Linked DNA regions of Oryzias latipes. Each later gene encodes a partner of the first gene's protein in a complex. Links are inferred from orthologs where the notes say so. Each region holds a gene or a part of one and is shown in the gene's direction. Other genes may lie near its edges. The genes, in order: plxnc1 and semaphorin-7A.

Region 1 (12,131 bases):
ATCAGAACTGGTGCTGCTAAACTACACCCCATTACTGAAAAACATACAGGACGATCTAACACGCTGGACCAACCTGCCTTTGTCCCTTATGGGCAAGGTAGCCACGGTTAAAATGAAAATCTTACCCAAAGTTAATTATCTCTTCTCAATGATTCCCACACAACCGCCATTAAAATGGTTCAAAACATTAGACTCATCCATATCAAGCTTTCTATGGAACAATAAACCTGCAAGAATTAGTCTAAATACTTTAAAATCTGCAAAAAGCTGTGGAGGATTAGAATTACCTAACTTCCACAATTACTTTCTTGCAAATAGATTACAATACATCTTAAAATGGTTAAAAAATAATCCAGAAACCAACTCATGGTTAGACTTGGAACAGGCGTTATGTGGAAAGATCAACCTGTCAGATCTTCCATTTATTAGTCAAATAGTTAAAAGACAGGATTGTTTCAAAAGTATTAATATAAATGCCACCTTAACAGCCTGGTGGGAATTTCTCAAAATATCAAAATCATCAATTCAACCGTGCAAAATGACACCCATCTGGAACAACCCAGACATCCTCATAAACAAAAAAATTATCCACTTCCCAGCTTGGCAAGCAGGGGGCATAAAACAACTAGAGCACATAATTATTAATAGAAGATTCATAACTCCCCAGGAACTTCAAGACAAACATGGAATATATAACTTCTTGGAATATCAGCAACTTAAATCAATTATTACTAAAAAGTTTAAATACAGAGACAACGATTTAAAGCTACCAGATGTAGTTACCACTCTGATCAATTTCTCAATGAATAAAACTCTCTCCAAAATATACAAACTTTTATGTAATTTAGATAACAATATTTCACTTCCGACAACAAAATGGGATGCGGATTTGAGCATCAGCACAGATGAAAGTTTTTGGTCAGAACTTTGTCTAAACACCTTTAAAATGACAAAAAATCCAAATCTGCAGCTAATCCATTTCAAAACTCTTCACAGAATTTACTACACTGGACAGAGGATGTTCAAGATGGGTCTCAGTAACTCAGACATTTGTCAGCACTGTGACAGTAATCTACCCGACAATTACATGCATGCACTATGGTTCTGCACGCCTGTCCAGGCTCTCTGGCAGCAGGTATGTGCCGATCTATCAGTCTGGCTTAAGGTTTCAATCACTGCTTCACCGTCACTTTGTGTGCTTGTTGACATGAGTGCCATCGATGTAGAAGTAGGATTAGCATCTATCATTTTCATAACTCTTTGCATTGCTAAAAAAACTATTTTAATAAATTGGAAAAGCAAAAAAAATATAAATATAAGTCAACACAGAAATCTGCTGCTTGATCATATCAGCTTGGAAAAAATGTCAGCCCAAAGTTCAAGTAACTTTGAAAGAATTCGGTCTCTCTGGTCTCCCATAGCTAACTCCGTGACTTAGGGGGGGGGGGGGGGGCATGGTCGTCGCTGCTCCTTGCCCTTCTGCCGTGGGCCGGGGTGGGGGTCGGGGCCTCCGGTGCCTGGCCGGGGGTGGTGGGGGCTCCGTTGGTCGGGGGGTCGGGTCCGGCGCCTGGGTGGGGCGGCCTGGGGCGCTGCGTGGTCCTCTGGGCTTGGGTGTGGGGGTGCGTGGTGGGGGGTGGGGTGGTGGTCTGGCTTGGCTTGGGGGGGTGGTCCCTTTGCCTGTGCTGGGGGGGGTTGGCGGGGGGCGCTGCTCGGGGGGAGGGGCCCAGCGGCGCTGGATGGGCTTCCCGTCTACGCCTGGGGCTGGGATCGGCCCTTCCCTGGCTCTGGGGCGGGACGGGACAACCCTCTTGGGGCCCCCGGTCGCTCTGGGTGTCATCCGCTTCGGCTGCGGGGTCTGGGGGTGGGGTGGGGTGGGGGTCTTGTCGGCCCTGTCCTGTGGGGGGGCATTCTGGGGGAGGGGGGGGGGGCACTATTGGTACGGGGCAGGGGGGGTTGACGGGTCGGGGTCTCCGCTGAGGCCATCGGCGGTTTCCCCGGCCGGTTGGCTGCCTCGGTCCCGTCGAGGCCTGACCAGAGCTCTTCTAGGGCCGGCGTTTGGGGGTGGGGGCCTGGGCTTGCTCCGGGGGGGGCCGGCGCTTTCTGGCTCCCCTCTCTCTGTGTGGGGGTGGTGGTGCTGGGCCTGGGGTGTCTGCGCCTCCGGGGGTGGGGCCCCGGGGCTGGGTGGGCCTGGCCCCCTTGCTGGGGGGGGGGCGGGGGACGGCTGTTTGACCACCGGGGGACAGTCTATCATCTGTCCCCAACTTACCCCCTTCCTCATATAACCTCATAATAGGGTGAGGGGGTGGGGGGCTTAGCCTGCGATGAGCCTTGGGGGGGGGGTTTACTAGGCAGTGACCCCCCTCCTGTGGTTGCCGTATGGAGTGGGCCCCCCCTCTTTCGGTTTTATTTGCACCTTAGACATGTAGGGCCCTTGGTAGGGGGGGTGCTTGGACATCACTGCCAGCAAGCAGCGGATGTCCTCCTAGCACCCTACCCGCCAATTTTAACCGCACCTTAGACATTTAGGGCCCCTTGGTGGGGAGGGTGAGGGGACGTCACTGTGAGTAATCAGGAGACGTCCCCTTAGTGCCCTACCCGCCAATTTTAACCACACCCCCCTTAGTACACACACCCCTCCCCCCTCAATATATACATCCCAACATAAACACACACACATGCACACACACACTCTCTCAAACACACATACACGCACACACATTTTGCAAGGAAGGTGGGACCTGGGACCATCTGTCCCCTGCCTCTTCCCTGGTGGGGGGTACGGGCCCCTTTGCAACGGCGGCTGTGTCCCCGGGGTGCTGGCCTCCTGGGCCCGGCGGTGCTCTCTCCGCGCGGTGGGGGGGTTCACATTACATCTGAGCCGGGGGTGTTCGTGTCCCTGGGGGGTGGGTTCTGGTCCTTGCTCCTGAGTGCTGGGCCCTGCCAAATTTCCAACTGTGGCCGAGCCTGGTCGGGCCATATTTACAACACCCCTTGTGGGCCCTCTTTTTTTTCCCCGGGGTTCCCCCCTTCTGGGCGGGGGCGGCGGGCCCCTGCCTCGCTCCTCCCTGGACCAACCGTGGGCCGGGCGGATGGCTGCCTGGAGTGCGGAGTGGGTCTCCCTTGGGGGGTCCTGGCTCGTACCTGGGGTTGGGGCGGGGGGATGCCCGGAACTCCTGGGTGGTGGTGGGGTGCTCGTCTGGGGCTGTGGGCGTCCTTCTCCGGTGGGGCCCTGCGTTGGGTTCTCCCGGCGCGGCGGGGGGGCTGCTCTCCTGGTTGGGCTGGGGCGGCGCCCTCTTTCCCTCCGTGCCTCCCTGCTCTCTGGCTCTGGGGGCCTTGCGGCGGCCCTGCTGGCCCTGGCCTGGGTGGCGGGCTTGGTCGCCCGGGCGGCGGTTGTTCCCTGCCGGTTCCCGTGTGGCGTTGGGGGGATTCCGGCTGCCGCTGCTGGTGCGGTGGGGGTCTTGGGGTGGGGATGGCTGGGCACTCTCCCTCCTTCTTTTCACGTTCCACCATCCATTTTAGAAGAACATAAACACTCACCTGAGCACAGGTGTTAGCTCAACAGACTGAATGACTGAAATATTTCACACTAGTTGGTTTTAAGGCATAAGTATGCATGTGAACACTATCTGTTTTGTGTACATGTCGACAGGTGGACATTTTTGCAACTAACAGGTGTGTTTATAACATTTGAGTGTGTGTGTGGACAGGCTCCGCCCTCTTTTTTTTTTTTGTTTTTTTTTTCATTTGAACCTTACCATAATGATTAACAACCAGTAAACTTGCTGCTTTATGCTGCTTCATGGTCTTATCCCCCTTCCCCTCCTATTATCACCCCCTACCCCCCCTCTCTCTAACGTCCCTCTCTCTTGTTCCCCTCTTTCCTTTTCCGTCCGGTCCAACACCAAAGATTTTCAGACATGTTTGAAATTAATAAAGTTTGGCCTCAATTACAAAAGGGGTTTATTCAGACATACCTTTGGTTTGTCTGAAGATTAATAACCCCTCTTGTTAAAGTAAAATATGTCCAACCCAAGAGGCCCTCAGCTCTCATCTGTCTGCCTAGCTGTTGGACAGGACAAGTTAGAAAAAAAAAAAAAAAAAAAAAAAAAAAAAAAAAAATTACCATCTGGATTCAACTTGATTCATGTTTATTTTGCCTGCAGCACATTTTGTCATTGCAAACAGCCTCCAGTGTTTTATTGCTTTGATGTCTTCCAATATCATAAAGTGAACAAACTCATGTTGAGAATTATATCACTTTCACCTACACGAGTATCATAAGGGAGTATTGCTGACATCTACAGCCTCAGTCACAACTGCTCTTACAGGTGGATACGAGCTGTCTGCAGCTGAAAAACGGGACCAAATCTGCAGGAAGTTTTAAGATTGCAGACAACCTGAGAGCTTGTGGCCCGCCGACAGTAACACCTGCATCACAGCTTTTTCCAACAGTACTTTTTCATCTGCTCCAGAGTTACCACAATTTGAATAACAAAATATTCAGAAATGCCATTTTTAACTTAATTTTCTTTATAAAAGTCCTGCATCATGACAAAAATGTCACATGAAACATGTTAAAACACATGAAGCACGATTTTCAAAGGAGCAGGTCTTGAAGTGGTCATCTATAACAGTAAATTTAATGAATCGTGTCATTCTTATTGCTGCTAAAGTTACTCAACATACCCAGTAGGTGGCGGCATAGATTTACTCTTTTAAGCGACTGTTATATTACTGAGAAAAAGTCAGAAAGTGTTTTTAGAAGTCTTAAACTGCAAACATTGACCCTGAAAAATGTCTATTGATCCCTGATCCTCTGATTAGTTTTTAGAACTCTTTAGATAACATGCAGTGGTTGTTCAGGACTGATGAACACAACAACTCCTTCTGTCTTATTCTGTGGTGAGCTGGCATCAATGACAGCATCAGATCTGGTTCCAGTTGGTATCTGTATCTGTAGGAAGCAGAAAATAAACCGAGGAAAAGCTCACTACCTGAAAAAGCTCTGCAGTTCTCAGCGTTGGTGGATGCGCCGCCTCCTCGCCTCACGTCTAAGCACTTCTCCTTTGAGCTGTAATCTTCAGAGCAGAGTGACATGCAGACGGGGAGCTTGTGGAGGAAACAGCTTTGCTTCAACATGATCCTGCTTCTCTCTCTGCTGTTTCCCCTCTGGGCAGAACCTGCCGTGAGTCTGGAAGAGGACACAACTTTCACTTTGGAAGGAAAAGTGCGACACCTGGCCGTGGCTCCAGACGGAGTTTACATCGCCACGGAGGAGAAACTCTACCAGCTGAGCCACAACCTGACACCGCTGCACTGTCCCACTCTGAGGGGTCTGTCAGGTGGGGAGGGGCAGGGGGATGCTTCGCTTCATTGTGTCTCAGAAAGAGAATTATGGAAGTCAAATTTCACCGTCAACGTGCTCCTGCCTTTTGTGGCAAATAAAACTCTGCTCATCTGCGGCGTGACAGAGAAAAAACCACGAGGATACTGTGAGGTTCTGGACCTGAAGAACATTTCTAAAGTTCTGCACAGTGAAGACATTCAGGTGGGGCCACTGATGCAAAGCGACGCATCCATCAGCCTCCTGGTGGAACTGGAGAAGAATCCACCTCAGAAGGAAACTTACATTCTGACTGCCATACAGCAAGATCCAAATAAACCCAGTACTAGGTCTGATGCAAAGACAATTAATCTGCAGAACACGCTTGAGGCTCAAGACGGAGGTATATTTTCTCTCACTGAAGACCAAACCTTTACTCCGGTGATTGAAAGTAAGGGTACTGTGGAGTTTGTAGATGGCTTTCAGATCAACCAAACTATCTATATCCTCTCCAACGTGGACAAAAACAAAGTCCGTCTTCTTTGGCTTAAAGCTTCTAAAAGTAAAGAAGAAACTCTGGAATCTCTGGAAGCCGCTACGCTCAACATCAGTGGATGGGATGGGAGCAGATTGCTGGCCTCCTCGGTTGTCCCAGGTGGAGAGCGGGTGCTTTGGAGCGGGGTATTCTGTGTGGACAGAGGACAGACCAATACCCAGCTGGTTCTGTTTGACATCAGCCCTCCTGTCATCAATAATCCCAACAAGGAACCAGATTTCTACTTCAAGAAACCACCCACAAATGCGGTAAGTGGCTGAAGAATTCTTCTGTCCTGACACTAAAATCCTTTTTAAATGTTTCATTTTCTGCTGTCATTCCTGTGGTCAACAGTAAACTGGGAAATATTTGAAGTCCACAGATGCTGCTTAAGGGTGAATGGTGATAGATGTTTTAGCCCTCCTTGTCTTCTGACCTTTGAAAAGGGCGCATCCACACTCACCAGCCACTTTATTAGGTACATTTTGGAGTTTAGCATGGCTATTGCCTTGAGGAAAAGCTGTTTTTGAGTCTGTTTGTTTTGGCTCTGATGCCTCTGATGCGCCTCTCAGAGGGCAACAGGTGCTCTAGTGGGTTGAGATCTGATGACGGTGGAAGAAGAAACCAGTCTGAGATGATTCCAGTTTTCTGACATGGCGCCTTATCCTGCTGGAAGTAGCATAAGAAGATGGTCCACTGTGGCCAGAAAGGGATGGAAATGGTCAGCAACAATACTCAGGTAGGATATGGGGTTGGAACCATGCTCAACTGGTACTAAGAGGCCCAAAGTGTGCCAGGAAAATACTTTATGCCCCACACCATGACACCACCACCACCAGCCTGAACCGTTGATACAAGGCAGGATGGATCCATGCTTTCATGTTGTTGAGGCCAAATTCTGACCCTACCATCTGAATGTGGCAGCAGAAATGGAGACTCATCAGACCGGACAACGTTTTTCCATCTTCTGTTAAGATAAGATAAACTTTCTTTATCCCACAATGGGGAGATTCTCATCTTCGGCAGCAAAAAAGACATCCAGAAATATGACAGCAAAAAGTGGCATTCACATAAGATAAAGTGACCTTCAGAAAACATAAATGAGACAGAGGAACATCTGCATTGTCCTGTTCTGGTGATTCTGTGTGAATTGTAGCCTCAGTTTGCTGTTCTTAGCTGACAGCAGTGGTACCCGGTGTGGTCTTCTGCTACTGTAGTCCATCTGCCTCCAGGTTGGACGTGTTATTCTTTCAGAGATGATCTTCTGCAGACCTCGGTTGGAACCAGTGGTTCTTTGAGTTCCTGTTGTCTTTCTATCAGCTGGAACCAGTCTGGTTGTTCTGCCCACAGAACTGCTGCTAACTGGATCTTTTCTATTTTTGGCTGAAATTTATTATAATCACACAATCGAGCTGTGCAATATGCATATCGCAAAAGACGGAGAAAATTGCAATAAATTGTTATAATAAATGTACTAAAACCATCTTACGGCAGTTTGAAGTATTTAACGAATCCAATAAACCGATTTTTGCAATTGACCAATCCAATGTTGTTGACAAATCGGCTGGAGCTCTTTTATGTTAGATGTTCGCCTCCTATGTAACCGACGGTCATTTGGAGTTGAATTTTTAAACTGTTGCAGTGAAATGGAAATGATGTTTTTGGTTGTTTTGCTATTGGTTCATATATTGTCATTGCAATATTGATCACTAATATCGCGGGTTTTCCTCATATCGTGCAGCCCTACTCATTAGGAGTGTACATTAACCAACAGTGGAACAGATGTGCCTAAAAAGATGGCCAGTGAGTTTCCTATTCTACAGATACTTTCCTTCCACAGTCCAAAAACAAGCTTCACAGGTTAATTGATGACTCCACGTTGTCCTAATGTGAGAATGTGAATGTTTTTGGTCGTGTGGCCATGTGATGGACTGTTCAGGGTGTACCCCGCCCTTCACCAAACAGTAGCTGGGATAGGCTCCAGCAACCCTGTGACACTAAAAGACAATAAGCAGATTTGGAAAATAGATGGTTGGATGATGATTGAGACTGGCAATAAGAATGAAACAACTAAAAAATTTTGGGCAATGAATTAAAAGTTTGACTGCATTTAAACTAATGATTTTCTCTGAATAATCACAATTAATCACTGCAAAAATAATAGTGTATTAAATGTATTTGAAGGCAAAATTGAAGTTTGGAAAGTGTTTTTCTTAAAAAGCAAAGAGAATAAAGTTATTTAGAATCAAAACTGTAGTTAGTTTCACATTTCCTTTTCACATATTCAATAACTACGAACAATTAAATGTTTTTTTCTTGTCTCAAGGAAAAGCAGAACAGCCAGTGTTCAGTGAAAAGTAACCCTGTTAGAAAAAAAATAGACTAAAATCCCAACTAGGATTTTCTTTATGCTGAACTTGTCTGTTCATGATTTACAAACAGAAAACCTCCTCTACTTTGACCCCCCGATCATCCATGCTCAGAACATTGAGTTGAACAGTAAACTCCATCTAACGTGGCTGCACCATTTGTGATGTGATTAGTCACATCACCTAGTAGGGGTGGGATGGTGATGGGTTGAGCCGGGTCCTGGCTGGTTGGGTGGGCCGGGCCTACCGCTCTCCCGGCTTGGGCTCTGGTTGCTCGGGTGGGGGTGCGCACTCTGCCGGCAAATTGGCAGGGGTTCCTGGGCCGTTCCCGGTCAGTGCGGCTGACCGGGAACGGCGGCCGGGTGCCGTGCTGGGTGGCTGGTCGCTGTGGCGGGGGCTGGGGCTTGGGGTTGTGGGGCCTGGGGTCGTCTGCCCGCGGCCGATGTTTCACCCTTGGCCAGTAGTTGGCCATATATATATATATATATATATATATATATATATATATATATATATATATATATATATATATATATATATATATTATTGTTATTATTATTATTTTTTCTTATTTTTTTCTTTCTTTTTTTAATTGGGGGGGGCCTGGGGGGGCGGTGTGCTAGTCCTTAGGGAGGTCAGTGTCATGGTTTGAGTTTGTTTTGTCTTGGTTTTTGCTTTAGTGCTTGTTCTGTCTTGTTTGGTTCTGTTTCCTGTTTTATTTTGAAAGGTTTCCTGTCTTGTCATGTCTTGAGTTGTACTTCCTTGGTCCCCATCTGCCCTGATCGTGTTCACCTGTGTCTTGTCTACCCTGTCTGTATATAAGTCTTGTCTCTGCCTTCCTCTTGTGCTGGTCCGTTAACGTCTTCATGTGTCTTCGTCCCTTCATGCCATGTTCCATGTTCCTCGCCACGCCACAGTAAGCTTTGTTTTGTTTTGATTCCTGCTCTGCAGCGCCTTTTGTTTGTTATTAAACCCTCTTGCATTGGAACCGTGTGCCTCCTGCCTCTGCGTCTGGGTCCTACCTGCTCTCAAGCCCCCCTCACCCTGACAGAATGGACCAGCCATATTTTCTGGACCCAGCAGAGCGGCTGCTAGAGGCCTACTGCCAAGAAGCAGAGCGGACCAGGACATATTGGGTTTTCGACCAGGCCCAGTTTGCCTCATATGCCTGGAGTGGGAGCCACCTGGACTTTACTGGGAGCCATCTTGCCCTGAAGGGGGATCCTCGTGGTCGCCGCCACCGTCCCCGTCCACGACCCGTTTTTGTTCCGGCAGTGGTCCCGGATGCACCACATCCCCTTCCAGTGGTGGTCCCGGATGCACCCCTGCCCTGTCCTGTTCCGGAGGTGGTCCGGCACGCACCACAACCCCTTCCAGTGGTGGTCCCGGATGCACCCCAGCCCTGTCCTGTTCCAGAGGTGGTCCGGCACGCACCACAACCCCTTCCAGTGGTGGTCCCGGATGCACCCCAGCCCCGTCCTGTTCCGGAGGTGGTCCGGCACGCACCACGACCCCTTCCAGTGGTGGTCCCGGATGCACCCCAGCCCCGTCCTGTTCCGGAGGTGGTCCCGGATGCACCACATCCTGTGCTAGTGGTGGTCCTGGCACCGGGCCCCTTCTTTGCTGGCCGTCTATCGGCGCTGCGAGCCTCTATCTGCGGCTGGCTTTCCGCCTCCTGACTGCCTGGCCGCCCTGGGAGGGGGGGCGCCTACCGCGGCCGGCTGGGGGGCCGGTCGCTCGGGGGAGCCTTCTTCCCCCGGTTGTGCCCATCCGCCTACTCCTCCCCGCCGTCACCCAAACAAATGTTGTACATAGGGCTCCGGGAACTGGATGGGTGGGGTATGCTGGCGGGGCTCACTGGGGGTGTTTCTCTCTCTGGGGTCGCGTCGGCGCCCGCCCTCCATCCCGGTTTTACTTGGGCCTTATGTGGAGGGTTTGGTGGAACACATTGCACGTTAGCAGCACACACACAGCAAATACACAGCACACACAGAGGGACCCCGGAGTGGCTGGTCCTCTCAGGGCGGCCGGGCTTGTGGGTATCCTGTCGGCTGCGGTAATGGAGATACTTATTCATGCATTTGTCTCCAGTAGGTTAGACTACTGTAACGGCCTGCTCACCGGCCTCTCCAAACGAGCTGTAAAACAGCTTCAGTACATCCAGAATGCTGCTGCTCGAGTCCTGACCAAAACCAGGAAGTATGATCACATTAGTCCTGTGCTCAGGTCTTTGCACTGGCTCCCTGTACCTCAAAGAATAGACTTCAAAGCAGCTCTGCTTGTGTACAAGTCTCTCCATGGCCACGCACCAAAGTACATCTCTGACATGTTAGTGCCATATGAACCATCTCGTACTCTGAGGACCTCAGGGGCCGGCCTCCTGTTGATACCCAGAGTCAGAACTAAACAAGGGGAATCAGCGTTTCAATATTCTGCAGCTAAAATCTGGAACAGCATGGGTGGGACGGACCTGGGGGCTGGCTCGCTGGGATCCTCTGGGGCTCTCCCTCCCCATCACAGAGGGGGGAGGGCATTAAGGGGGTTGGGGAGGGGGGCTTAGACAATATGGCGGGGGAGGAGGGTTGTAGAGAGTAGGGTTATGGGGGGTGGCTGTGGGTGCACCCACAGATGGAGTTTACTGAGTTGAACAGTAAACTCCATCTAACGTGGCTGCACCATTTCAGGCTTCGTCTTTGTCTTTAGAATCCAAAGTCATAAATAATTGGTCCAGTGCACATGTCAATACTGTAGCTGTTCCACCTCCTGTGTTTTTTCCCGGTTGGGGAGTGGGAGGGGGGGTGTGAACATTTTTCCTCCCCCAAAGGGGGAAAAAGAGAAAAAGTTTGAGAACCACTGTACTAACCCATCAGCCATTCAAAAGTCTTTCACAATTTAATAGCTGTTATATCTTTAGGTGTTTGCGGACCCAAATCTGTTCAATGACAGACGTGTTTCTGTTTTTCAGCAGAGAACGTTGAAAAGCTTGACAGCTGAAACTGTTCTCTACAAGCAGAACAGCATGACGTCTGTGCTGGCTGTGAGACAGAAGACCTGGATGGTCTTCTTCGTTGGGACGGCGGATGGACAGCTAATTAAGGTGCATAGGAAATGAATTACACCTACAATTTCTCTTTTTTTCCCTTTCAACTGAAACGGTTAAATACTGATGTTGAGAAGTCTTCCCTGGTTTCTTTTGTAGGCTGCATAATGACTCAGTTAAACAAGTTAAGAAAAAAAAACGTTTTTGGTCAAAAAGTCGCAGAAAAACAGTTTTATTTTCAACACCTAAAATGTGAACTATTGCATTGTAACATCCTTTTCCTGTCGTGTTACTTCATGCAAGCCAGATCACATGCAGACAGCTATAGTTTTTAAATATACATTTCTGTTGAGAGTTCTTGCTTTTGTCACTGTTATGCACCAAAATAAAACTCCTGTTACCATTAAGAGGAAACAGGAAACAACAATGTTGATCACAACAGCTGAGGGTCAGACTGAAGGCAGGACCTGAAACTTTGAGTCATAGCAGCTTTTATTGAATCAGATTCGTTTTCCAATCGTCAGTTTACTTCTGTCATGAACATAAACACAACGTGACTCTTAGCACATAATTTTCTAAATACATGCAAACTTTCTTCTTGGCCGTTTGGACGTGGAGGAAGGGTTAGGGTTAGGTTTAGGGTTGGGTCAATGCGTTAATACGACCAACAAAAGCCTTTAGCCTTGGACGCACACTTCTAATTCATGCAGGCAATGCAGCAATGTGCATCTCAGCCAGATTATGTGTGGACAGAATGTATTTCCATCCGTTTCTGTGCTGGTCGCATGTGAATGCGTGCAAAAACATCAGCTGTAAAAATAACTAGCATTTCACGTGCGGTAAGTCCAGTCTTTTTTAACGACA
Region 2 (12,041 bases), on another chromosome or scaffold:
CGTCTCAAGATCCTCCCAGTCGGGGTTTTTTCTGGACTCTACAGCCTTCGTCTCTTGGATTTGAGCCAGAATGAGATTCTGGTTTTCTTGGACTACACCTTCAAGGAAGTAGCCAACCTTCAAACGCTGGAAGCTGGTGAGAACGACCTCGTCTTTATCTCCCAAAGAGCTTTCTTTGGTCTGCAGAACCTGCAGGAGCTGAACTTAGACCGCAGCAACCTGACCTCCATTCCCACAGAGGCGCTAACCCAGCTGCAGAGCCTCACAGTGATCCGCATGTTTCGCCTCACCATCTCCTCACTGCCCAACAATGCTTTCCGAAGACTGCCCCGTCTGCGTACCCTCCAGATCTTAAACTGGCCTGCGCTGGACACAATTGCAAGCAACAGTCTAATTGGTCTAAATTTGACATCACTCACTATCAGCAGCTGCAATTTGACTGCGGTTCCTTATGCAGCACTTCGTCACCTGGTGTACCTGCGCTTCCTGGACCTGTCCTACAACCCCATCACTGTTATCCAGGGTAACCTCCTAGGGGACCTTCTGAGACTCCAAGAATTACATCTAGCTGGGGCAAGCCTGCTACGAATAGAACCAGGAGCCTTTAAGGGCCTGTCCTTCTTTCGAATGCTTAACGTAACATCCAACATGCTCACTACTTTGGAGGAGAGCGCTTTCCACTCCGTGGGGAACCTTCAGGTGTTGCGTTTGGACGGGAATCCCCTTGCATGTGACTGCCGGCTTCTCTGGGTGATGCGGCGCAGGCAGCGCTTAAACTTTGACGGCCACCAGCCCACCTGTTCTTCTCCTGACGCTGTACAGCAGCGCGAGTTCAGAGACTTTTCTGAGAAGGAACTCGTCAGGCTCTTCACGTGTCGGCCGGCTCGTATTATGGACCGCAGGCCGCAGGAGGCGAGGGTTGAGGAGGGCACCACAGTTCTCTTTTCCTGCAAGGCTGATGGGGATCCATTTCCAACCATCACCTGGATCTCCTCTCATAAGAACACAGTTTCCCCCACAGGAAGAATCAGAGTTCTACCGAATGGAACTCTGGAAGTCCGCTTTGCCCAAGTTCAGGACAGCGGCACATATCAGTGCTTGGCAGTCAACGCTGCAGGCAATGACAGCATGTCTGTTGGGTTGTATGTGAAAGGGGTCCCTCGTAACAAAACGACCCCTTTCTTTCTGGAAGAAAGCTGGGTCGAGCCCCCAGACCTCCAAAACGCCAACTCCTCTGCTCAAATGGCCAAGCCATACCCATTTGATGCCAAGACGCTGATCATTGCCACCACTATGGGCTTCCTGTCCTTCCTCAGCTCGGTGGCCATCTGTTTCGTCTTCATGTTCTTCTGGAGCCAGAGCAAAGGTCAGATCAAGCACACGGCAACGATTGACTTTGTTCCACGCTCTTCTGTCGGTGGAGGAGGGGATGGCGCCGATGGCGGCAGGTTTACCATGAAACTTATTTAGACCAATCGAAGGAAGTTTCTGTGAATTTTTCTGCACTATGAACTCACACTGCTACTCTGGAGATGGACACCTGGTATCAAAGGCTTCTCCAGATGCCTGATCAAAAAGAGTTTCTTGCTCCTGTGCCAGCCTTCTTCTACTTTTGTAGCTGAAAGTTACATCCAGGCATCTTCTCGCCTGTGTTTTGAAACTAATGATCGTACAGTCCTTGGGGTGAACATCATTATGTAGACAGAGGTGTCTCAGTTTGTGTACATTTAATTTCAGTAAACATTGAGTCAATATGCATCATTGGTTTCTTTTATATAAAGCATGAACTTGTAAAAAATGAATTGAATACATTTTAGTCTTTGAAGACTAAATCACAGTGGTAAAAGACAATAAGTGCTGTTTGATCATCCATGTTGGACTGATAGACTTATTTACTGTCTCTGCTTTGCCATATTCGACCCTTTTACACAAATTCTGCTTTGGTTTTAAGACTTTAACTTGTGAGTAAAGCTTTGATATCCATGTTTGGAATAGAATAGCCAAATATATTCCTACTCTCTTCCTAAAATTTAGACACTTTAGACCTTTTTAGAATGTTAAGGTTTGGAAGGTTTAGGCATCTGTGTTAGGTAGCCATGTAAATGGCAATGTATACTTAACTGTTTTATACTTTTACAAGTTTTTTTTTTAGATCAACTGCACCTTTCCTTTTGTTATTTTCTGTCTCAGCATGCTATGATTTTATATATATTTTGTATCCGAACGAAACGCTGAAAACTATGTGCCTCACTGACAGTCTCACCATCGACAGAGAGAATGCTGTCCTTGATCTGCGTTATCTTGTAAATATTTAGGTCAAGGTTGACTTGTGTCCTACGTATATTCTATAATTTTATCCAGTCCTGGGGATTAGTGTCACTCACATATGCCCGTCTTGTATACCAAACTGAGTAGATGCATTAGGCTGTGTACAAAAACACTTAACCATGCCTGAAATGAAGTTGTGCAAGATTGACATAATTGTTTTTTTGCTGTAAAATATTTTCATGTTGTCATTAAATACCGGTTTGAACCTGCTCTTGTTTTTTTCTGAATGTTTTTGTATCTACAAAATATCATTACAGTAGATAAAAACAAAGACTGAAGTTCTTCATTTGTGAGCTTCAAACTGAGGGAAGATTTTCTTTGTGAGAAATGACTGATTCCTTTTAGTGAACCAAATGCACATGTTTTGGTTTTTATTTTCTGTAAATATGACAAAGTCCAAAAACAGGTTTAATAGGTTAATTTGTTACTCTAAATTGTCCGTAGGTGTGAATCTGCCTAAGTGTGTGATATGTGGCCCTGCGACAGACTGACGACCTGTCTAGGATGTAGGATAGGCTCCAGCAGCCCCATGACCTCGAAAGGGACAAAACGGAAGAAGATGAATGAATGAATGACAGATTGTGAGATTTAACCTGCAGAAATATACTCTCAGTTTAAACTCAATTTATCTCGTATTTTCAGGTCTCTTTCATTGCACAGCTCTGAGGCTGAGAGTGAAACTCAGCAAATATTAAACCCAAGCGCTACCATCATTTCACTGTAGAGGTTGAGAGACTCAAACGAATTCACTGAACAGTAGATAATTTTGTTCGTGTCATCCCCAGAATAACCCAGAAAAGCGAGGAGGGGAAAAAAGTGATTATCACGTGTATGAGCAGAGATTTAAACCCTTTTGGATTACCTCGGCACGTCTCAATCTGTTATATAGGTCTGTCTGGTGGGTGCTATCCTCCTGCCCAGCCTGGCCTGTCATATTATCTATTTTAATATAACCATTTGCTCCCATTGGACAGAAAGCCAAGGGAGGAGATTAAAGTGGTGCTCCGAAGCCCCTCCCATATCCCATGACTGTCATACACCCCAAAGAATATTGTGGTCTCCTCACATCTGCTGTCAGTAAACTTTAATCCGTTTTTCCCAGAAAAAAATTAAATTACAGCTCAACTAAATCATTAAAAATAGTATTTTTTCTTATTTTATTAATTTTATTATTGCCCTTTTAACCAAATTACTCAACTATGGAGTCAATAAATACAGTCCTGAAAGACTCACCAAAATAAAAAAGGTGTTTTTTGTGTTTTTAACATGTTCTTGACATAAATAAATAAAATTAAGCTCAAAATGACTTTTCTGAGTATGTATTTTCCAGATCATTGTTTATTTAGGAGCAGATGCAAAAATAGTGATTGAAAGAGAGCTTATTTGTGACATAAAATATGCCGGGCGGGCCACAAGCTCCCTGCTCCGCTCCATTCTGATGCTTGTCGACGACTCCATCAATGTCTTTGTTCTTCTCATTCGAGCTGACATCTGGCACAAAACTGTATGGCTGGATAGCTCCAATGTTGCTCACCATTTTCGTATTTTCAAGTAATATTAGCTTGTGGTGTAAGAGGCTGTGAGCTAGAGAGAGAGTGCATAAACATAGAGCTCTCAAGAATGGGGAGGGGAAAGGGGGTTTGCTTGCTCCACACCATTGGTCCCGCCCACAACTTGAAGGCGAATTACTAATGAACTCCTGCCGCTTTGCAGAAACTGTGTCCCAAAAACGAACTTTTTCTTTTTTTTACATTTTGGCTAAAAACTGCATTATCATGGTTAAAACAACAGGTCAAAATTTGATCTGAGTGGGACTTTTAATAGTCTACACAACTGTAAAAAGTTAAATCCATTAATAGTTCAAATTCCAGCATGAAAAGTGACATCAGAAACTTAATTTTTCCCTATGCTTAATGCAAATGTCTTGTTTACGCTGATCTGTGTCAGGATCTGCGGAGTAAGTTTTAAATTGGACCCAACTAGGTGAAAAACAATCATTCTCATCCTCATTCTCTGGATTCGCCGTCATTAGTCCCTGTGATCTGCTGATGTTCTGATTTAAACCCGGCAGTTGTGCTGAGAGCACAAACTAAATAGACTCATTAGGTTTAACAAGCAAAAGCCATTTTCCTCAATCAAGTGTTTTGTAAGTAAATCAAAGTGAAGCCTAAAGCCGTCTGACTGCAGATGAAAGAGGGTGCTTCAAGGTAAATCCCAATAAGCTGAAGCTGTGTTCACAAGCAGCTTTATTGTATTCTCTGTCTTATGCTTAAATAGGAATCGCAAAAATGTACTTTATAAATATTGAAAACACAATCTACTAAAGTTTCATTTACAGAAATGTAAGATTCAACCTGGGATTGCTGGGATGTTGCTCTGATAGATCTCCTTGAGTTTTCTGTGTTGAGTTGTTGTCTCTTCCTCCTAAGGTTCCTTCAGTTCAGGTGAATTTCCTGCCAATCAGCCACAGGGATCTCTTGCCTCTGATATTTTTGGCAAAGTGTGCACAAGGTCCAAGTCCTGCTGGGAAATAAAACGCACCATCTTCACAAAAGTAGTGAGCAGTTTGAAGCTAGAAGTGTTCAGAAACATCCTGGTAGATGACAGCGTTGACTTTTAACCAAATAAAACACAGGAAATCAACAGATACAGTTGAAAAAAATGTTCATGAAACTGAACAACTGAAACTTTGTCTTGATCAGTCTCAAGCAGCTTTCTTCCTCCAGATTCCGAGATATTGATTTAAAACAACCAAAACTTACAGATTTTACATGGATCTTACAAAAAAAAAAAACTGAACAAATGACATATCGTCAGGATATTTTTGTCCGCAGCCCAAGTCTGACCTTTTTGTTTCAAAAGAGACCAATCAGAAGGAAATCTGAAACCCACTTGAAATATTGTGCATGGCAGCCAGGAATCACAGGCAGCCCACCTTTAATCTCCACATCATTTTGAATTTGATTTAGCTTTTCTCTCCATGAATTTGTGTATAAGATTTTAATGAAAATCTAAAATCTATCCTTTAGGAAAAGTTGTATTTTATGAATCCCATACTAACATATATGTATGTATTCTATCCAATAGGTCATCTTAATAATAAAACATCAGCACACTGAACCTCTGAAGTGGGAACAGGACGTTCAGATGCAATGATGTAAGAAACATAAAGTTATTGTGAAAACCAGTCGGAAAACTCTGCCTTTGCTGCCATCTAGTGGTGAAATGTGGGAAACATAAAGTCAACAAAACAAAAATCTCTGAGGATTGAAGTCTTAAATCGACAAAGCATGTAATCCCAGTTATACACGGATAGAAAAACGTTAGTTGGGAAGGGAAAAACATTCTGAAACTGCGTGGTGGACTGCAGATTGAACGTTTATGCTGTATTGTGTTAATCTGTTCCTAAAAAAATAAAACAGGGATCTGGTCTTAAAATGACCAAATAACCGAATGTGACTGAAGATATTAAACTTATGGTTGCTCAAATTTTCAGCAAATACAAACACTTCAAAGATCAGATCTGAATCGGCTTCAAATGATTGATTACAGAGGCAGTTCAAGCTATTTTAATGCAGATCACGTGGGTGGATTTCTGCTCGTTTTGTCGTCTGTGTGGCATCTGAAGTGAATGAGAAACCGGAATGCCTCTTTTTCTCCCTGATTTTTAGAGTAACATCCTGCTGATTTATTCCACTCCATGGCGCGCTGCTCTGCAGAGAGCTCTCATAAAGGCGCAGATGAGGCTTTGCTCGGCGCCTGCCTGCAGCTATAATTTTCCTGTGAATGAAAAGAAGGCATTTATGAAGCCTCTCCTGGCGGTTATTCCCCATTCACGCTTCTTCATATTTGTGACTTTTAATTCAAAAATGTGAGAGTCGAATTCATCTTACACTCTTGAAACAGATGGAGAAACGGTTAATTTGAGGTTACTTTGGATGCAGTTACATCCAAAGATTATACAAATTTAAGAAAAATAGAAAGTATAAAAACAGTTAGATGTTTGTTTGGCCATCCAAACATAAAATCATCTTTTCAGCAACAGGTATGGGGAGCATAATTCATAATCGTGGATTTGGAATAACACGAAGTCAATGTATTCATTTTGCTCCTGCAAAGCATCACTCCCCCCGCTGCCTGTCGTCTCCCTGAAGCCAGACACCCCAAATGTTATGAGCCCCTGGAACCTCTGGAAGAGCAGACGTATCTGGGAGCAGCGGTGGTTGGCACAGCCTATGGGACACAGCAGATCGGGGAGGGACCTGAGTGGAGAGAGGACAGGACTTCAGACGGAGCGCATCGTGGAGAACAGCAGACCTCAAAAGCAAGATGAATTCGTTGGTCCTCCTGGCACTTTTGGCCTCGGTCGTTGCGGGAAAGGCGCCCAGGCTGAAATTTGTGGTGCACGGTAAGCCGCCGTTGGTTTTGTCCGCATGTTTTACTGCTCCGTTTTCTGTTCTGTGTTGAGCCTTGGAGTCTTGGCTGGAGGGGGTGGACAGATGATTGGATTGAGCATCTTGGGGTTGATGCGCCCCTTCATGGTTGATCTGCTCTTTTAAAGTGCGGGTGTCTTCTCTTTGCCATGTACTATGAGCGCATATCAAGCCTTCATCGGAGAACTGCGTCCCGATTAATCTCCCTAACAGACCCTCCCTCCTTCATTTGAGTTGTAAATTACGCGCTCCAGCATCCAGGCCTGCAAACATAGTCAGGTGATCTGAATGAAAACCTGGAAAATCTGTGAGACCAATAAACTCAGTATGTTTTCTGTCCATTTGGGTCCATTTAGTTTTGTATGCGTAAATATGCAACTTTCTTGTTTTTTCCTTTTTGATTCCCATTTATGACACAAGTTCTCAAAGGCTCCGATGTCTCTCTGTCTCCGCGTCAGACGCACAGAGGGATAATCAACCCCCAGGCGTTCAAAGGCGACCTCTCGTCCTCTGAAGGAGGAGGGGGATCATGGCGTCTTTTTTTGTCCTGCGAAGGCTGCGGCTGTCATCGCCGAAAAGCGTCGTTATTGTGAAATATCGCTCTGTAGCGGTTGATACAGTCATTGTGGCTCCGCGTCCTTGCGGAGCTGCAATGCGGGACACGTACAGCTGCTTCCCACTGCAGCAGAGGAGTCGGGAGAGCTCAGCCTCACAGTGGAGGGAAAGCACGCACAGCTGGACGCGGGCTTCAGAAAAGCAGACAATGAGGGGACATGATTGGGGGAAGAGTGTGGAGTGGAAAATTCCGAGCACAGACCCCGTTATCTATTCCACTCACGAGTCCCCCCCCCCCCCCCGTTTTTTAAAGTTTATTTATTATTTTTTACACCCCACACAAATCTCTAATGTATTCAGCAATCAATAGAGGTGTGGGCTGTTGTCAAGTTATCTGAATCGCTTCTCTCTTCGTGGTGGAGCTCAAGATGCCGCTGGTGGACGTGCGTGTCATATCAATCAAACTGTTCTTATAGAATTGCTGACTCCGGGACAGGAAGACGTTCAGGGGATTTGGGGGGAAAACAGGAAAGATTTTTTTAAAAGCTGGTTCAGGACCTCGGACAGCTCCGAGGTGTTCCTCAGGAAGTTAGCATTTGGAGACCTTTTTTTCACCTTCAGAAAATCGAGCTTGGGGTTTTACTCTGGTGTTTACACCTGTTGAAATCCTGAAAAAATGTTTTAAATTTTCTTCTGCTATGTTAAATTTAATCAAATGAAACCAAGGTTGTTTAAAAACAGTTTTAAAACAAGGGGATTCTAGCTTTGAATGGGGTTATTTAGAGGCTTTTTCTTGGATAAAATAATCATTTTCTGTTTCTTCTTCCACATTTACAACAAGATCAAGGCACAATTTTAAGCGACTATAAAGGGAACTAAAATACAATTCAATTATAGTCCAGCCCTTGAGACATACATTACCAATTTGATTTGTGTGGTTAAGGTTCTTATGAAGTCAAACTAAATTCTCATGTGCCTTATACTTTATCGCCAGTTAATGTTTTGTGACAGATAGGTGGTGGGCAAAACTCCTGGAGCAGAAAGTCTCAAACAAGTCCAGAACATTTGAATGTTTAGTAACAGAAACACATAGACCAAGTACATAAACTGCACCAACAATTTTCATTGGAAAAAAAAAATGAAGTTGCTTTTTTTCTGCCTTTTTTGCTGCATTTTACCCTTCTACAATTACATCAGTTTCATGTAAAATATCTAAAAAGCCAAATTATATTGTGTTTGTTGAACCACATTTGATCAGAAATCTAAACAGTTTGGCCTTTAAACGCAGGCTGCCTCCTCTTTTACACCTGATACACACATTTTTGACACCATTTAGCATTTGGAATCGTGATTCTGCCCACATGCTGAAGTAAAGTTCAACAATCACTCAATTTTAGATTTAATTTGGCCATCATCCTCCCGAGATAACTAAATGACTCTTTAGCATCCAAGGAGCTTCATATTTTGTTGTCTGCTGCTCCCATGGCAGGGAGATGTGTTTTCTTGTATTGTCTGATCAAACCTGTCTTATCAAAAAGCTGCCTGCTGCTACTGGAAAGGCAGTGACAGAATCAGAACAGTGCCACTAAAGCCATCATTTAAAAGCAAAAGCAGCTTGCTGGAATGAGCTAAAAAGCCTCAGAGCTGCTGCTAAAGTAAATGACGTCTTTGTTGAGTTGGGTTTTTTTGCTGCGAGAGGCACCTTTTGCATCACAATTACTAAAAGTGTTGATTTGCATAGCTGCGGTTGCTTTTATAATAGTTTCTTTTTTTTCTCATGTATTAGGCGTTCGTGTATTTGTTCAGGATTAAAAACAGGACCGAAGCTTTGTGCTTTTCATTTCTTTTAGGGGTTTGCTGAAAGGATTAGGATTTGGATTATTCAATGAATAAATGAAAAAAAAAAGTCAGCCTCTCTTTACTTTGTGAACTGAATACATATCTATGACCTGACAGTGATATTACAAGAAAAACAAAGTCCAGAAGGAACAAAAAAACAAGAACATGGCATCCTTCAAAGCCCATCTAGACGACTGTTGTTGTGAATTTGGGCTATACAAATAAAATTGAATTGAATTCTTGGGTGAAGACAGTAAAACATTTTCTGAAATGTGTTTTTCATTTGGTTTGATGGAACTAAATGGAGAAATCTTCAATGGGTTCTTGATCACTGAACTTTGGCTCTGCGTTTTTTTTTTTCTTCCAGTAAATGCCTTTTCCTTTCAGACTAACCCACCAAAGTTGCTCTCCTTTCCTCAATTTGCATATTTCTGCCTTTAAAAATGACTCACTAATTCAAAATGCTTTTACTTCTAAGAACATGTGTCTGTAATTGCCTTTTAATTAAACCTTTTAATCAGGCAAGCTAGAGAAAATGAGGATGTTTGTCTTTGTTTGTGCTCAGCTGACCTTTTGAAGATTCAAGGGTATGGCCGAGCACAAGCGATTGAATGTCTGAGAGAAAAAGAGAAAGAACAAATTTAGGTTTGTGAGAACAAAAAAAAACACACTTATGAATCTCTACACTTAAAGATGCATTCCTTGTTCTGTTGCAGCAGACCATATTTTAAACAACCGTTTAATTATTATAACCTGTTTCGAACCTTGAGGAGTACGACACCTGAATTTCTTTTTTCTGCATCTGTTTTTGTTGTCAATGAGTGAAAGCCTTTGGAACAAAAGACTCCTCTGTCTTTAGAATGGAGGATTGATGATGACTCGTCCCCATGAAGCTTGTCGTGTAACTCTTGTGCTATCTTAGATGACCCCACCCTTACATTGACATGTTATTCCTGCCATGAAAAAGGTGGATAAAGGTGGAAAGATTTCATGTAATCCATGGACACCAGTGAAGATCACAAATCATTGAAGAAAAAAGGTTCAGAGCACTGTCTAGTGGGTCTAGATGACCCAACTCCCAATGTTAAAGTGCCCAGGATAGCACAAGGGTTAAAAGTAGATTTCTCCAGAGATGGATTTAGTTAAACACAGACATGCAGCCCTTAACTTCTTGTTATAGCACACATTTTTTTTCCAGCTGTTTATGGAAGAGAAGTTGAAGAGTTTAATGGTTTTTACAGCTTTCAATTAACACGGATGTTTGACTTTGAAAAGGTGGAATAAAAGAATCTTCTCATCATTTGTTAAATAATCACAGTATTTCTGGCAACAATTTTGATCTTATTTAGAATAGTTTTTAAAGTTCTATGATCTTCCAACCATGTCATTTTTAGCCAAAATCCCAAAACCTGTCATTCTCTTTAACAATTTTTCAGCAGAGCGGTAGGAGTTTCGGAAATTCCCCTCTGAGTTGTGGGTGGGACTGTTGGCAGGAAGTAAGCCTGCGTTCATTCCCCTTCATCCCTTTGTTTACACTCTTTCCTGCTGGCTTCCAGCCCCTCACACCCCCAACCTAAGATTACCAGTGCAACAAAAAAGGGCGAACAATGTTGGAACTAGGCTGCACGGTGGCGCAGTGGTTAGCCTTCTTACTGTGAGGCCTTCTTGCCTCACAGCAAGAAGGCCTCAGGTTCAAGTCCCGGCTGGGGGAGATGAAAAACTACATCAACAGGGGATCTTTCTGTGTAGAGTTTGCATGTTCTCCCTGTGCATGCGTGGGTTCTCTCCGGGGTCTCCGGCTTCCTCCCACCATCCAAAAACATGCTGCATAGGTTAATTGGCCAATCTAAATTGTCCCTAGGTGTGAGTGTGAGAGTGAATGGGTGTGTGATTGTGGACATTCTACCCTGCGACAGACTGGCTACCTGTCCAGGTTGTCCCCTGCCTTCACCCAAAAGTGGCCGGGATAGGCTCCGGCAGCCCCGTGACCCGAAAGGGACAAAACGGTTAAGAAAATGAATGAATATTGGAACTATCCAGTCGTACAGTTTTGAGCCAGATGCCAGCTTGTTTGAAGATGATGAAGACAATATTGGATTTATTTGTGAATGATCGAATGAATCTGAATGGAGAGGAGCAGAGAGCTTGTCGCTTAAACGTTTTCAATCTGAATGTTTTTTTATCTGCTCCTGATTCACAATGATTTGAATACATACTGAGAAACACAGTTTTTTTAAATCAGAAAAATTCTAGATCAATATTTTAAAAACACCAAAAACACAATTTTTATTGGAGATGGTCTTTGAGTCAAGTCTCTTTCTGTGAACAGATATCAATAAAACTGGATTTACCAACAGTTTTGGTTTAGACTATGAAACAGATGTGGGAATATTTAGTTAAACCGTTTTCTAATAGTTACATGTTTATTTTGTAACAATATAATAATGAGCACAGAAAATAGAAAAAAAGATGTGTTGCTGCGTTCACTTTGTAGATTTCATTTTCCCAAACTTGAAAGAGTTCAATGCATCAAAATGATAATATGATGATGTGAAGTGAAACTATAACCTGCATTGACAAGTTTCCCTTTGGTCTTCCAACAAAGAGAGCACAATTTTGCTCAAATGAAGTGGATATTAGATATGAGTTTAGTGAGTTTGCTAGAACTTTACTAATAGCAAATGATGAACTAAAAACTTTGCTTGTCCTCTCTCTGTGTGGGGTGGGTGGTGCCGGGCCTGGGGTGTCGGCGCCTCCGGGGGTGGGCCCCTGGGCTGGGTGGCCCTGGCCCCTTTGCTGGGGGTGGGCTGGGGGACGGCTGTTTGACCACCGGGGGACAGTCTACCAGCTGTCCCCAACTTACCCCCTTCCTTATATAACCTCATA

Evidence for each region.
Region 2: the proteins of plxnc1 (region 1) and semaphorin-7A are in contact, whole or in part, in a crystal structure (PDB 3NVQ), measured with the Homo sapiens proteins. The link is inferred for Oryzias latipes from reciprocal best matches to the Homo sapiens genes PLXNC1 and SEMA7A. Residues at the interface, in NP_005752.1 of Homo sapiens: Arg131, Thr151, Glu152, Val153, Asn195, Pro196, Ala197, Ala198, Ser199, Asp200, His201, Thr203, Ala206, Lys208, Arg213, Ser214, Leu215, Ala216, Thr217, Gln218, Glu219, Leu220, Arg222, Lys224, Glu272, Ala350, Ser352, His353; in NP_003603.1 of Homo sapiens: Gln194, Tyr196, Asn197, Gly198, Lys199, Arg202, Arg204, Tyr213, Ser215, Asp216, Thr217, Gln270, Gly271, Gly272, Glu273, Ser274, Ser275, Leu276, Val278, Ser279, Lys280, Pro372, Thr375, Glu376, Phe378, Gln379, Asp382, Arg383.

Annotation. Positions count from the first base shown.
Region 1 is NC_019881.2:2,529,350-2,541,480, forward strand, and holds the start of plxnc1 (plexin-C1), read left to right. Parts: upstream 1-5,055; 5' UTR 5,056-5,095; coding exon 5,096-6,127; intron 6,128-11,192; coding exon 11,193-11,324; intron 11,325-12,131.
Region 2 is NC_019874.2:26,906,084-26,918,124, reverse strand, and holds the start of semaphorin-7A, read left to right. Parts: upstream 1-4,848; 5' UTR 4,849-6,657; coding exon 6,658-6,736; exon of another isoform or gene 6,737-7,493; intron 7,494-12,041. Other genes in the region: leucine-rich repeat and immunoglobulin-like domain-containing nogo receptor-interacting protein 1, read left to right, coding at 1-1,470. UniProt on the Homo sapiens protein: Plays an important role in integrin-mediated signaling and functions both in regulating cell migration and immune responses.